Linked DNA regions of Schizosaccharomyces pombe. Changing the gene in region 1 together with any one later gene gives a genetic interaction. Each region holds a gene or a part of one and is shown in the gene's direction. Other genes may lie near its edges. The genes, in order: psy1, vps5 and spo3.

What was found.
Region 2: of psy1 (region 1) and vps5, extra expression of one rescues a mutant of the other (dosage rescue), as found in Schizosaccharomyces pombe (one study listed by BioGRID).
Region 3: of psy1 (region 1) and spo3, changing one suppresses a phenotype caused by changing the other (phenotypic suppression), as found in Schizosaccharomyces pombe (one study listed by BioGRID).

The regions. Positions count from the first base shown.
Region 1 is NC_003421.2:1,027,537-1,031,375, reverse strand, and holds the start of psy1 (plasma membrane SNARE Psy1), read left to right. Parts: upstream 1-2,156; 5' UTR 2,157-2,229; coding exon 2,230-3,084; 3' UTR 3,085-3,839. Other genes in the region: putative histone N-acetyltransferase Naa40, read left to right, coding at 548-1,120.
Region 2 is NC_003421.2:700,742-704,580, forward strand, and holds the start of vps5 (retromer complex subunit Vps5), read left to right. Parts: upstream 1-1,855; 5' UTR 1,856-1,865; coding exon 1,866-3,596; 3' UTR 3,597-3,839. Other genes in the region: TATA-binding protein-associated factor TAF6, read right to left, coding at 1-650, 809-940. UniProt on the Schizosaccharomyces pombe protein: Required for efficient sporulation target of PtdIns(3)P in vesicle transport required for onset of the forespore membrane formation. Plays a role in vesicular protein sorting.
Region 3 is NC_003424.3:2,051,191-2,054,790, forward strand, and holds the start of spo3 (sporulation protein Spo3), read left to right. Parts: upstream 1-1,607; 5' UTR 1,608-2,754; coding exon 2,755-3,600. Other genes in the region: btn1 (battenin CLN3 family protein), read right to left, coding at 1-462. UniProt on the Schizosaccharomyces pombe protein: Has a role in spore morphogenesis. Involved in the assembly of the forespore membrane.

The DNA.
Region 1 (3,839 bases):
AAAACTTTTACTGCTCTGCTAATTACAAGTTGTAGCAAATTTTTATCCACAAGCAGTGGGTTTAGCAAATATGCCTTTAGAGCATCATCTATCTGCTAAAATGCCTTGAAGTTAAATCATGCTAATTGAAATATACGCGTTAATGACCCCGAAATTGTTTGTAAAAGTTTTTTTTTGTTTGCAAGTTTCTTTCTATCTTTGGAAACTATATATATATTTTAAAGTTGCATATTGCGTTTAAGGTCTCTTCCGGTTTCATCAGAAGTCAAGCTCTAAATTAATACAACTGCTGTTATTTGAATAAAGGATACGGCTTAAAACGATTATTGGAAATAGGAATTATTAGATGATTAAGAATATTCATTTTTTGTTATCGTGTATTACTAAGTAGGCTTGCTGTAGCAACAATAATAAAAATGATAGCATTTTGCTCGATATGTATTAAACCCTTATTCAATCTTTGGTTTTTAAAAGTGTAATGTGATATTGATACCTTAACAACATTATGCATTTTTTGAAGCAATACCTCTTTTACTCACCCAGACGTATGAAGACCCAGGAAATCAAGAATGTTACACTCGAAGACGTTGATTTTTTAAAAAACTTAGGGGTTTGGGTGGAGATATATCATCATCTAGAAAAAGGACTTCTTCAGCAATGTTTCAATTTGGTAAAAAAGAACATGGAAGCACTATATCGACAAAGCTCCTTCGGATGGGATGATTCAGAGAAATTGAAGGAAATGGAGATGGAAAAATTAGAGTATATTTGTATTTTTGAAAAAACCTCGAAAAAATTGGTAGGATTTCTGAGTTTTGAAGACACTGTGGAAGCAGGTCTGACTTGTTTATACATATATGAGATACAGCTAGATGAGCATATACGAGGGAGGAACGTTGGGAAATGGTTATTAAAAAATGCAAGTATACTTGCATATCGACGAAACCTAAAATATATTTTCCTGACAGTATTTAGCGCCAATTTAAACGCCTTGAATTTCTATCATCATTTTGATTTTGTACCTCATGAGTCATCTCCCCAAGAGAAAAAATTTAGATCAGGAAAAGTAATTCATCCGGACTATTATATACTTTATACGAAGTCCAGAAAGGATTGGTAATTGAGCTTCCGTATACACACATGCTTCATACCTTTTTGCCATCCCCCTCTAAAACTACAAAATATGTGTATAGTCTCTTTTCTTCTTTGGTGCATCCAATCTCTGAGTTTAATGTTTTGCATTGAAGTCATCAAATTTTGTGTATTTTTTAAATCTACGATACCATACATTATGACCTGGTCCCATCAAAATATTGTTCCATTTACTAAACCTTTAAAACTTTAGTAAAATATTTGAAATTTCTGTTCAGGACTTTTGTTTTATTCCATTAGCAACGTTGTAATGTTACATGATGCGAATTGCTTTTCAACCATAACAGCTTAGGGATTGGAGGGGCTACAATTTCTATTTTAATTTATTCATTAATGTCAAAATATTTCTACCTATATTGAGGTATATAGTTACTATCTTTTTAATTACTCAAAGAAAATCACTTAGGATATCGATTACTTCTGTTTCAAATTCAAACCTAGAAGTATAGATCAGAGAAAAATTACCGACAATGATAACTAAAATTTTCAGCATTCCTTTCTCGTTTCCAATGGCATTCAAACCATGATTGCTTTTAGTGTTAAAAAACAAAAACAAAAAAGAACGATTAATTCCGAGACAGTCAACTCCATCAACTACGAAAAACAATTAAATATTTTTTATGCATTTCTTGAAATAAACTACAGCAAAAATCTTTCTTTTCAACCAGAATATCAAGAAAACTTCACTCCTTATTCGTACCTCATACAAGTCCAAATAACGAGGAGAGTATCCTATTGTGATTTTAACAAACTCCAACTTCCTTGGAATTCAATTTTTAAGTATTAGGCGTATATTTTTGATATCAAGTTTAACGGATTGTATTGTACAACATTAAAAAGTAAACACTGCTACGTCACACAAAGCTCGGATTTGATTATGATTGGCGGACTTTCAACAGTGTGTTGTTGCTAAGCCGCCTTTTGTTTACCATTGTCTGCGAAAACATTCGTTAAATGCTGCTGTATGATTCTTTATTTTTAGTAGGAAAAACGTTCTTGTCTTTAACCAACAACAACAGAAGGTATCTATACCTTGTTTGTTCAACAAAACGGGTTTAAACAGATAAATATAACAAAATGAATAAAGCAAACGATTATACACTAGGAGTGGAGATGATCCCTCTTAGTATGGGAGAGTTTTTTGAAGAGATCGATCATATTCGCGATGCCATTCGTCAAATCGAAGATAATGTCGGTCGAATTGAGATGTTGCATCAACAATCGCTGCAAGAAATTGACGAAGCAAATATTGCAGCTACGACTCGCCATTTAGAAGGTTACACATCAGATACTCGACGTCTCCAAACTAGCGTTCAGTTGGCCATCCGGTCATTAGAGTCTCAAAATATGCAGCTGCCACCCGATAATGACACAGCCACCAGAAAAACACAGACCGAAGCTGTAAAAAAGAAATTTATGGACCAAATTCGTCACTTTTTACAAATAGAAAAGACATATCGTGCTCAATATGAACAACGTATGCGTCGGCAGCTTGAAATTGCCAACCCCAGGGCTACTGAAGATGATTTTCAAACCGCTATAAATGAAGAAAATGGTGGACAAGTATTTGCTCAGGCTTTGCTTCGATCAAATCGGTCTGGTGAAGCTCGCACTGCATTACGGGAAGTCCAGGAGCGTCATGCCGATATTAAAAGAATTGAAAGAACCATTGCTGAACTTGCACAGCTTTTCCAGGATATGGCTACTATGGTACAGGAGCAAGAACCAATGGTGGATAAAATTGTAACGGATGCTGTTAACGTTCGCACGAATATGGGTGAAGGAACTCAGCATATGGATAGAGCTATCAAGAGCGCTAGAGCAGCTCGTAAGAAAAAGTGGATTTGCTTTGGTATTTGTGTTGTTATCATTTGTGTAATCGTTGCTGTTTTATGTGGTGTTTTGATTCCTGTTCTTGGCAATAGACATTGATCAACGGTCATTCTTCCTTGTTGCATGAAAAGTTTTTTTCTTTTAAAAAATCATGTTTTTCATTACTTGGTTTTAATGATATTCTTTTATTCTTCTAGTATCTTGACTGTTCTAACCATAATCCTTTTGCTTACCCCTTTTTTTTCTGTTTCTTTTCTTTTAAACCTTTCTTCCTTGGACTTGTATAGTTTGTACAATTTTACCTTTTTCACCCTTTATCCACGTTATTCTTATTCATTTTCATTTCCTTTCATCCATCTCTTGCAAAATTCTCTGCGATCGTTATTACAATCCCTGTCTACACCTTTCCGTTTCCCCATCTACCCTTACTTAATATTTGAGTTGCTGCAAATGTATTTATTTTCAAATGCTGCAGTGATATGGCCGGTTAGATATCACCTTTGAAACGTTTACCTTTTTAGCATATTTCCCGTTTGAACGGTCCGATTGTGATTTATGGACTCTGGAAAGTCTTTTCATTTTCACTCATCGCTCGTTACTTAAGTTGCAGTGTAAAATATTTGGACTACACGTCTGGCATTGTTATTTTGTTTATTCATGGCATGCTGCTTCGTTCTTTACCCCAGCAGTGTTTTACATCATTCTCGGGTTTTATATTGGTAGAAACCAACAAAATTTATTTGGTTTTTTAAAAGACGATAACAGCATTGTTTTAACAGTTTATGTGTTTATACGTATATGAACGGAATCGAAGTTCATCATCAGTTCTGGATATTTCAATAAACGTTGTTGTA
Region 2 (3,839 bases), 330 kb from region 1:
GCCATGTGCATTAAAGTAGTAAGAACCACAAGATTTCCTAAGTTTCGAGTTACAGAATCCGATAAAAACATTATGAAGTATGGTAAAAGTTGGTGTAATCCGGGGTCGTCACGTAAACTCGATAGGGCAGCATCACGGAGCTCAACATTAGTTTCATCAAGCAATGCACTGGTAATACGCTCAAAATAAAGCTGTAACTCTTTGGATAGCACATGTCGCACCAACGGTTTTATCTCAACGTTGTCCATCGAAGTGACACCGTTTCGAGCTTCTTTAGCAGCAGTTGAAGCACCTGGCATAACCCCTGAAGTACCCTTGGATGCCCATTCTCCAACTGTGTGATCTGAGGGAGTTGGATTTTGAGGAATGGCTGGCTGCACACCTTCGATGGCCAGCCAGTGTGCACTGTAAGAAATGTTTCTAGGGACTTTAGGGAGAGGAGCGTTTATGATTTTTTCAAAATCCACTTCCTCATCATCAAGGTAGTAAAGGGAATTTTGGCCTGCACCTACAGCGGCTTCATGAAATTCTAATGGACGAGAATTATTGAAGCCGTATAACGGCTCAACATTCAACGTCCGTAACGCTGAAGAGATATCTGCGCTAGTTAAAACAGTTCTTTTAGAATGAACCATAAACTTAGTGGCTTCCTAAATCAAATACTGTTAGAGAATTATGTTTAATGTCAGAATAAAGCAGACTATCTAGCAAATTGAAAGGCATCGTAAAAAACTAGCAACAATTTTTTAGTTATTTTAGCCTCTTCCAAAGAAAGTAAAATCTCATAGTCTACTTTCACGAAACCTACCTGAACCACCTGATGAATTCTATATTCGAGATCCATTGCAATAGCTGCTGCTGGTTCATCGGCAAGATTGCCAATCCCAAGCATTTCAGCAACATCTTTGATGGATTCAATATTCCATACTGTCAAGGACATGACTTGGTAGTAAGATGAACGATTTATGGATCAATGAGTGAATTGCATCTGCAGAGAAGTAGTTAACGATGTTAGAAGCAACTGCTTTATTTAACATACTTGTCAGCAATACTACACTACGCTATAATACACTACGTTGCGTATCACTATATGTCACATGTTCTAATTATATATCGTACCATGTATGATACGATATGGAGATTGATCTTAATGATAATCTATTAAGATCTATATTATCTGAATACTATAAATAGAGCTACTGCTGAACCTCGTTCCTCAGTTCAGTTATGAGCTATATTAGTGATAGGTAACATTATAACCCAGTTAATACAATACCTATACTCAGTTGCTACTTATACAACCTGTGTATTGTAATATAATAGATCACAAGGAAAACTCACCGCAGTTCTACGTATCCTTAAATCAGATACCAAACTGCGTAGCTTACAAGACAGTGAGCTACACTAAAATCGCTATTAAACATTACGTTACGCATCAAAATACACTACATGGAATACCAATTAATCTCAATTTGTTGAACAATAGCAGAAGACTATATGTTTGTTTACTAAAACATCCATTGATATTGATATAAAATAGTAGTTAAAATTAGAAGTCTAGATTGAACAGAGCATCATTCTCAGTCCAGTTATTAGCTGTTACAATGATAAATATATTATCACCCACCACTCACAATACTGTATAACGCAATATACTGCTTCTACAAGCTAAATATAATTTAATGTAGCCTTAAAAGGAATTAGAAACTTGAATTGTTGACACTTATCTAGTTGCACCGCAAGTCACCCCGCATTGCTAAACGTATTTAACCATCGTTATTTTTCGCTAGTCGTCGTTGGGCTGCGCATCACCATTTCAGGCACGATTTCAGTGATCAGATCCAAAAACCCAACCGGCCACCATCATGCTTGGGCATAATATATATGAAGAAGACGATGCATTTAATCCATTCGCAGATTCCGTTTCTCCACTGAACCCTCCAAAAACCGACCAAGAGCCCTCAGCTGAAGGAGTGGAAGAAGAGTCGCCGAATGTTCAAGCTTCTCCACCAAAAACTCATATCTATACATCTCCTAGGAAACGAAGCGTCAATTTGAAATCTCTTCCGTTTGAAACGTTAACTTTGGATTCTGCACCTTTAGGTCCCTTGCAATTTTCTGATGCACCTTCTATGGCACCCGAAAACAACCGTTTGGAAGTTGGTTTAAATACAAAAATTAATCCGTTAAAAGGATCTAGTCCCGCTTTGAATGCAGATTTTTCTGCAAATAAGCCTTGGATCTCAGAAGTGAACTCCTTTTCCCCTTCTCCTATCGGAGCAACGGAAAATCCCACTATACCAAATTCAGAACAGACGGTAGATACTTTAGACGCTGCCTCATCTTCTGCTCCAAATTTTACACACACTGTCTCATCTGCCTCCTCCCAGAAGCAAGGTTCAACCTCATTAACAGATACGGAGAATCAGAAGGCGCACCCGGCAGCGGCACCTCAATCTCTTACCCCGTTTTACATCCAAGTTCATGACCCTCATACCGTTAAGGAAATCACTAAATCGCATACCGTATATTCGGTTTCCACTCGTTTAGAGGAACACAATCAACCTTCTGTTAGCAATGTGACTGTACAAAGACGATATAATGATTTTGCTTTTCTTTATCAATTGCTTTCTAATAATCATCCGGGTTGTATCATTCCTCCCATCCCGGAAAAGCAGGTTGTAGGCCGTTTTGATGATGAATTTATTGAACAGCGACGAGCAGCCTTGGAGGTAATGCTTCGCAAAATATCTGCCCATCCGGTTCTACGTGATGATTACTCATTTAAGTTGTTTCTTGAAGCAGAGACATTTGACCCTAGAATGACACATCGTACTACTCTCATTGAGAGTTCATCAAGTCCTTTGCGCTCAGGTCCCTCAACATCTGGTTTACTTGACTCATTCACCTCCGCCTTCCATACCTCTGGATCTTCTAAATTTTCCGAACAGGATCCAATTTTAATTGAAGCAAAGGATACACTTGATTCGTTGGAAACTCAACTAAAGTCGGTTTATCACGCGCTTCTTTTATCCATAGATCAACGCATACAGTTCGCTTCAGCCATCCATGATTTTGGCGAGGCTGTTGGAAATTTATCTTTAGTTGATTTAGAGCCCACCTTATCATCCAAGTTTGATGGTCTTTCCCAACTCCAGGTAGAGCTTCGATTTGTACAAGAACGTAAGGTTGCTCAAGACAATTTGACACTGGGCACTACATTGGAGGAGTACATTCGGTACGTGGAGAGTGCCAAAAATGCCTTTACTACACGTCAAAAGTTGTGGCAGACATGGCAATCTTCAGTTCAAGCTGTTTCTCGTGCTAAAACTCAACTTGAGAAATGTAAAAAGCAAGCGAAATCTCAGCAAAAATCACTCCCTTACTTGGAAGAACAATACGAAAAATATCGAGCAAAAGCTGCTGATCTGGAAAAAGAGTTTTCGGAATCAACAACTCTGTTAAAACGAGATTTGAGTTCTCTCACAACCAGTAGAGTTGATGATCTCAAAGCTAGTGTTGAAACGTGGTTGGAATCTGCAATTGAATCTCAAAAAGAAATTATTGAGCGTTGGGAATCATTTTTGGATCAATAACGACTCTAATTTTCCCTATGCACTCTTTTAATTTTTATGTTTTTCTTTCGTGTAATATTTCTATCCCATATTCGTATTAATGTATTTCCAACTACCGCTTTATTACTTTGCACTTCTCTAGCTGACGATTTCTATTCTATTCTAATTATTTTTTTGCAATTTCCCTTTTCGTCCATGGTACTTCATTACTTGAAAAGAAAATGTACCTTAAAATATTGCATTCTATCTACTAACCTTACAGCA
Region 3 (3,600 bases), on another chromosome or scaffold:
AAACCATGTAGTCATAACCAAATAGGAAGATGCACCAAAGAGACCGGCCAAGCCTGTTCCGGAACTCCAGCACGGTAAAGACACAGAGTGATAACGACTTGATAGATGCAAGAAAGAGATTTCGCCAAAACTCGATGAAATGGCTGCCAGAGATACACCAAGCATTTTCGAAGGGACGGAGGAAGACCAAGCAATCCATTGCATTCCTAATATGGACATGAAAACACAAAAACCGATTCTCTTTGCAAACTTAAATTTATGAACATGAAGAATTGATGCTGACAACTTGCACGCCAAAGAAGGAACAATATTAGAAAGTAGTACCACACCCTTAGAAACGTTTGCGCCAACCAAATCTAAGGCAGCGGATAAAATTATCACGTAGAGAAGGTTGTTTAACAATCCAAAAATTAGGAAGCAACACCCTACTTTCGCATCTTTTGTTAACCTCAATTTAATCATGATTCGTACTATATTTAGTAGAAACTGAGGTCATAAATTTTAGTTTGAACCGGCAATACGATAGTAGACTTTTGTAAAGTGCTAGTCTACAAATTTGCTGTTGTTTCGCAAATAGCACACTTTAAAGCCCTTCTATCGATGACTTCATAGACGAGTTAACTTGTTACAAACTGTAAATAGCGAGGATCAACGAACTGAAAAGCAAGTCGAGATATGTTTAACATTTATTATTCGAGTAGCAATAAGTTGAAGAAAAGAACTCGTAAGCGCTTAAGGGTACAAAAAAAATTGAGTTTTTAGTAACTTCGTAAGAGAAAGGCTACTACCCTTCACGAATGGCGTATTGAGCGATTGAATTATTACGGTAATGTTGTCAGGTTCAAAAGAAACCGATTTTGAATGTTACACTGTTTTTTCCAAGCAACCGCTATCAAGCTAAAGCTTACCCTACTAAAATTTCAACGACTAGTAACTGACATGCCTTGCTTGCTGTGATCGAAAAGCTCCTAGTTTACTCATGCTTCGGTTAGCACTTCTTGAAATCTCCCAGGAAAACAATTACAACATCTTTAAATATTCTATTCACGTGTCTACAGCTTCTACTTATGAAGTTATTGTTTTTGGCACGAGATTTATTTTGGTTTAATTCCGATCTTCGTTTGCTTATGTTTAAAAACTCTAAATCGTAAATCAAAACAAATTGAATATAATATCGTATGAATGTGTCTTTACCGAACTACGGTTAACATCGTTATTGCATTATCACTTTGCTCAACAATAATATAAAATAGTAATACGCATGTATCTACTATAGATATTTCGTATTGCTTAGTCAATTTTTTTTTTTTTTTTTTACTAAATGAAGGTTTGACGCTCCGTTACGACTGTTTATAATAACGAATTGGAAACCGAACCGAAAAATCATCTCGTTCATTATCAAATTTGCCTTGTTTGCTTTGACCCATAACACATTACATTTAACAGTAATGGGATCATTATGTTAGTTACTGGGAATTATATTATGCTTGATGCTGTACTACAAATTTATAATACTGTCCATAGAAAGTGCGATATTGGCGTTTTAACGAGCGTTTCGCTATCATTCTCTAGTTTACAAATCGCACCTCACCATGGTTCATAAATCCAGCAGCTACAGCAAACAGCTGTTTGCAGACGCACTTTAGAGTTTGAATTTTAGAATCTCTTTTAAGTAAAGCTAAGAGACTTATAATCTCTTAGATTTCCTTTGGTTTTATATTAACTTCAATGAGCATAATGAATTATTATGCGATCACAGTGCCATCGACATGTTTCAACATTTTTTAAGCACATGCTGTTAATACTATTTAATCCACTAAACTTACTAATGAGAGTATCCTTTTAATCTACTGATAAACAAAAGGAGTTTTCGTGCTGTAAAATGGTAATTTTACAGTACCACCCTCTCCCTGTAATCGAAAATGCATACCAGATATGATGATGCACTCATTTTAACTCTCTTTAAACTATTAAAGTATATTCCATCATTTCCGTACCCTCGTTTCAGAATGTTCATATGCGACTTGTATAAACAACTCATATAATCTGAATGCAAAACTTCCCTCATTGTTAGAGATGATCATGTGTAGATCATCAAGTAAAAAAGATGGACGATGTGCGCTTCAATGAGTTAACACTCGCATCAAGCTTTTGGTAAAGCCTTTGACTCCTATTTTTTTTGCTCAGCCTTGTTATATTTTGTTTAAACCAGTAAGAAACTGATTAATAAAAGTTTCCCCACACTTTTGAATGTTTTGTCGAATAAGCACTGTTTTTCTGTTTGTTTACAGAGTCGATTGTTTCGGTTTGAGTGATATTTAAAGCAGCATTTTTTTTGTATATATAGAGCCTTTAGTACGAACTTTCTTTTCTTTACCGATTGATTTTTGTCAAATATCATTACTGTTGCATTCTTATCTTCTTGTGTCAATATTTTTTTTTCGGCACCTTGTGCTTCTTCTGATCGCAATTTTGTTTAGTATCGATATCGCGATTTTTTTGACTCTTCTTTCTTTAACTCTGGAACGCTCTTATTAGGGTGTTGTATTTATTTATTTTTTTAATTCTGACCTATTCTAATCTCTTTCAAAGCGATTGTTTACGTCCTATTATATCAAAAGTATTCAAAATTGCCACGAATACTGTTTCATAATAAGTTTTTCTATAAGTCTTTTTGAAAATATTATATAAAATAATATTTTCTTGTTTAGTCTCAAAAGCCATTACCTCGTGGTAATTTGATTCAAAAATAAAATGGGGATTTTGTCTGTCATCAGAATTTTCATTTATTGCTTAATAAGGCTTTTCAGTTTTAATTCTCGAAAGAGAAACTCTTCAATTGATGAACTGGAAAGGGGAGAAATCAATGCGTTTGCTTGTGACAAACAAAACACTCCATCACCTAATAGCGAATGTCGTCCCTTAACACCTCTTAATTCTCCATTTAGGAGAACAGTTGAGGGAGACACAGCAAATCTTCAAGCACCTAGCCCTACTGCATGCCCTTCTTTTGACTCTGCTTCGTCTATCAAGTCAAGTAAGGAAGACATTGCTTGTCGTAAATTGTCGACAGAACGTTTTTTTTATTCACCTAATGGTATCGATGAAATGAAAAAACAGCAACAATTTAAGAAAATACCTACTGTTTCAATTACAGAAGTTGAGCCTGCTTTCATCCCTAGCAATATGGAGCAAGCATTATTTTCAGAAGAGCCATTTGTTATCCAGGATGATCTATCACATCAGATAAATTTGGACGACAACAGGAAATTTTCAAGGATTCAAAAAAATAAGCTTGATCCCCTTATAACAGTAAATTTGGTTCCTATTGTGAACGGTGAAAACTGCTTCAACTTTTACGAAACCCAAATGGAAACAAATTTTCTTTCCCCTGAATTTATTAAAAAGCCATCTATGGTTGATCACAAGCGAGATTCAGAAATTAATGCAGTTACAGCTGTTTCTGCCGACGGCTCCTTCAGTCCTTTGACTGAAACACTTTCATCAACAATAAGCACGTTGTCTAACGATTCCCTGGATGGACTAAGCTCTCAAAAAAACGAATTTACTGGATTTAATAGCAATAGCGAATGGATACCT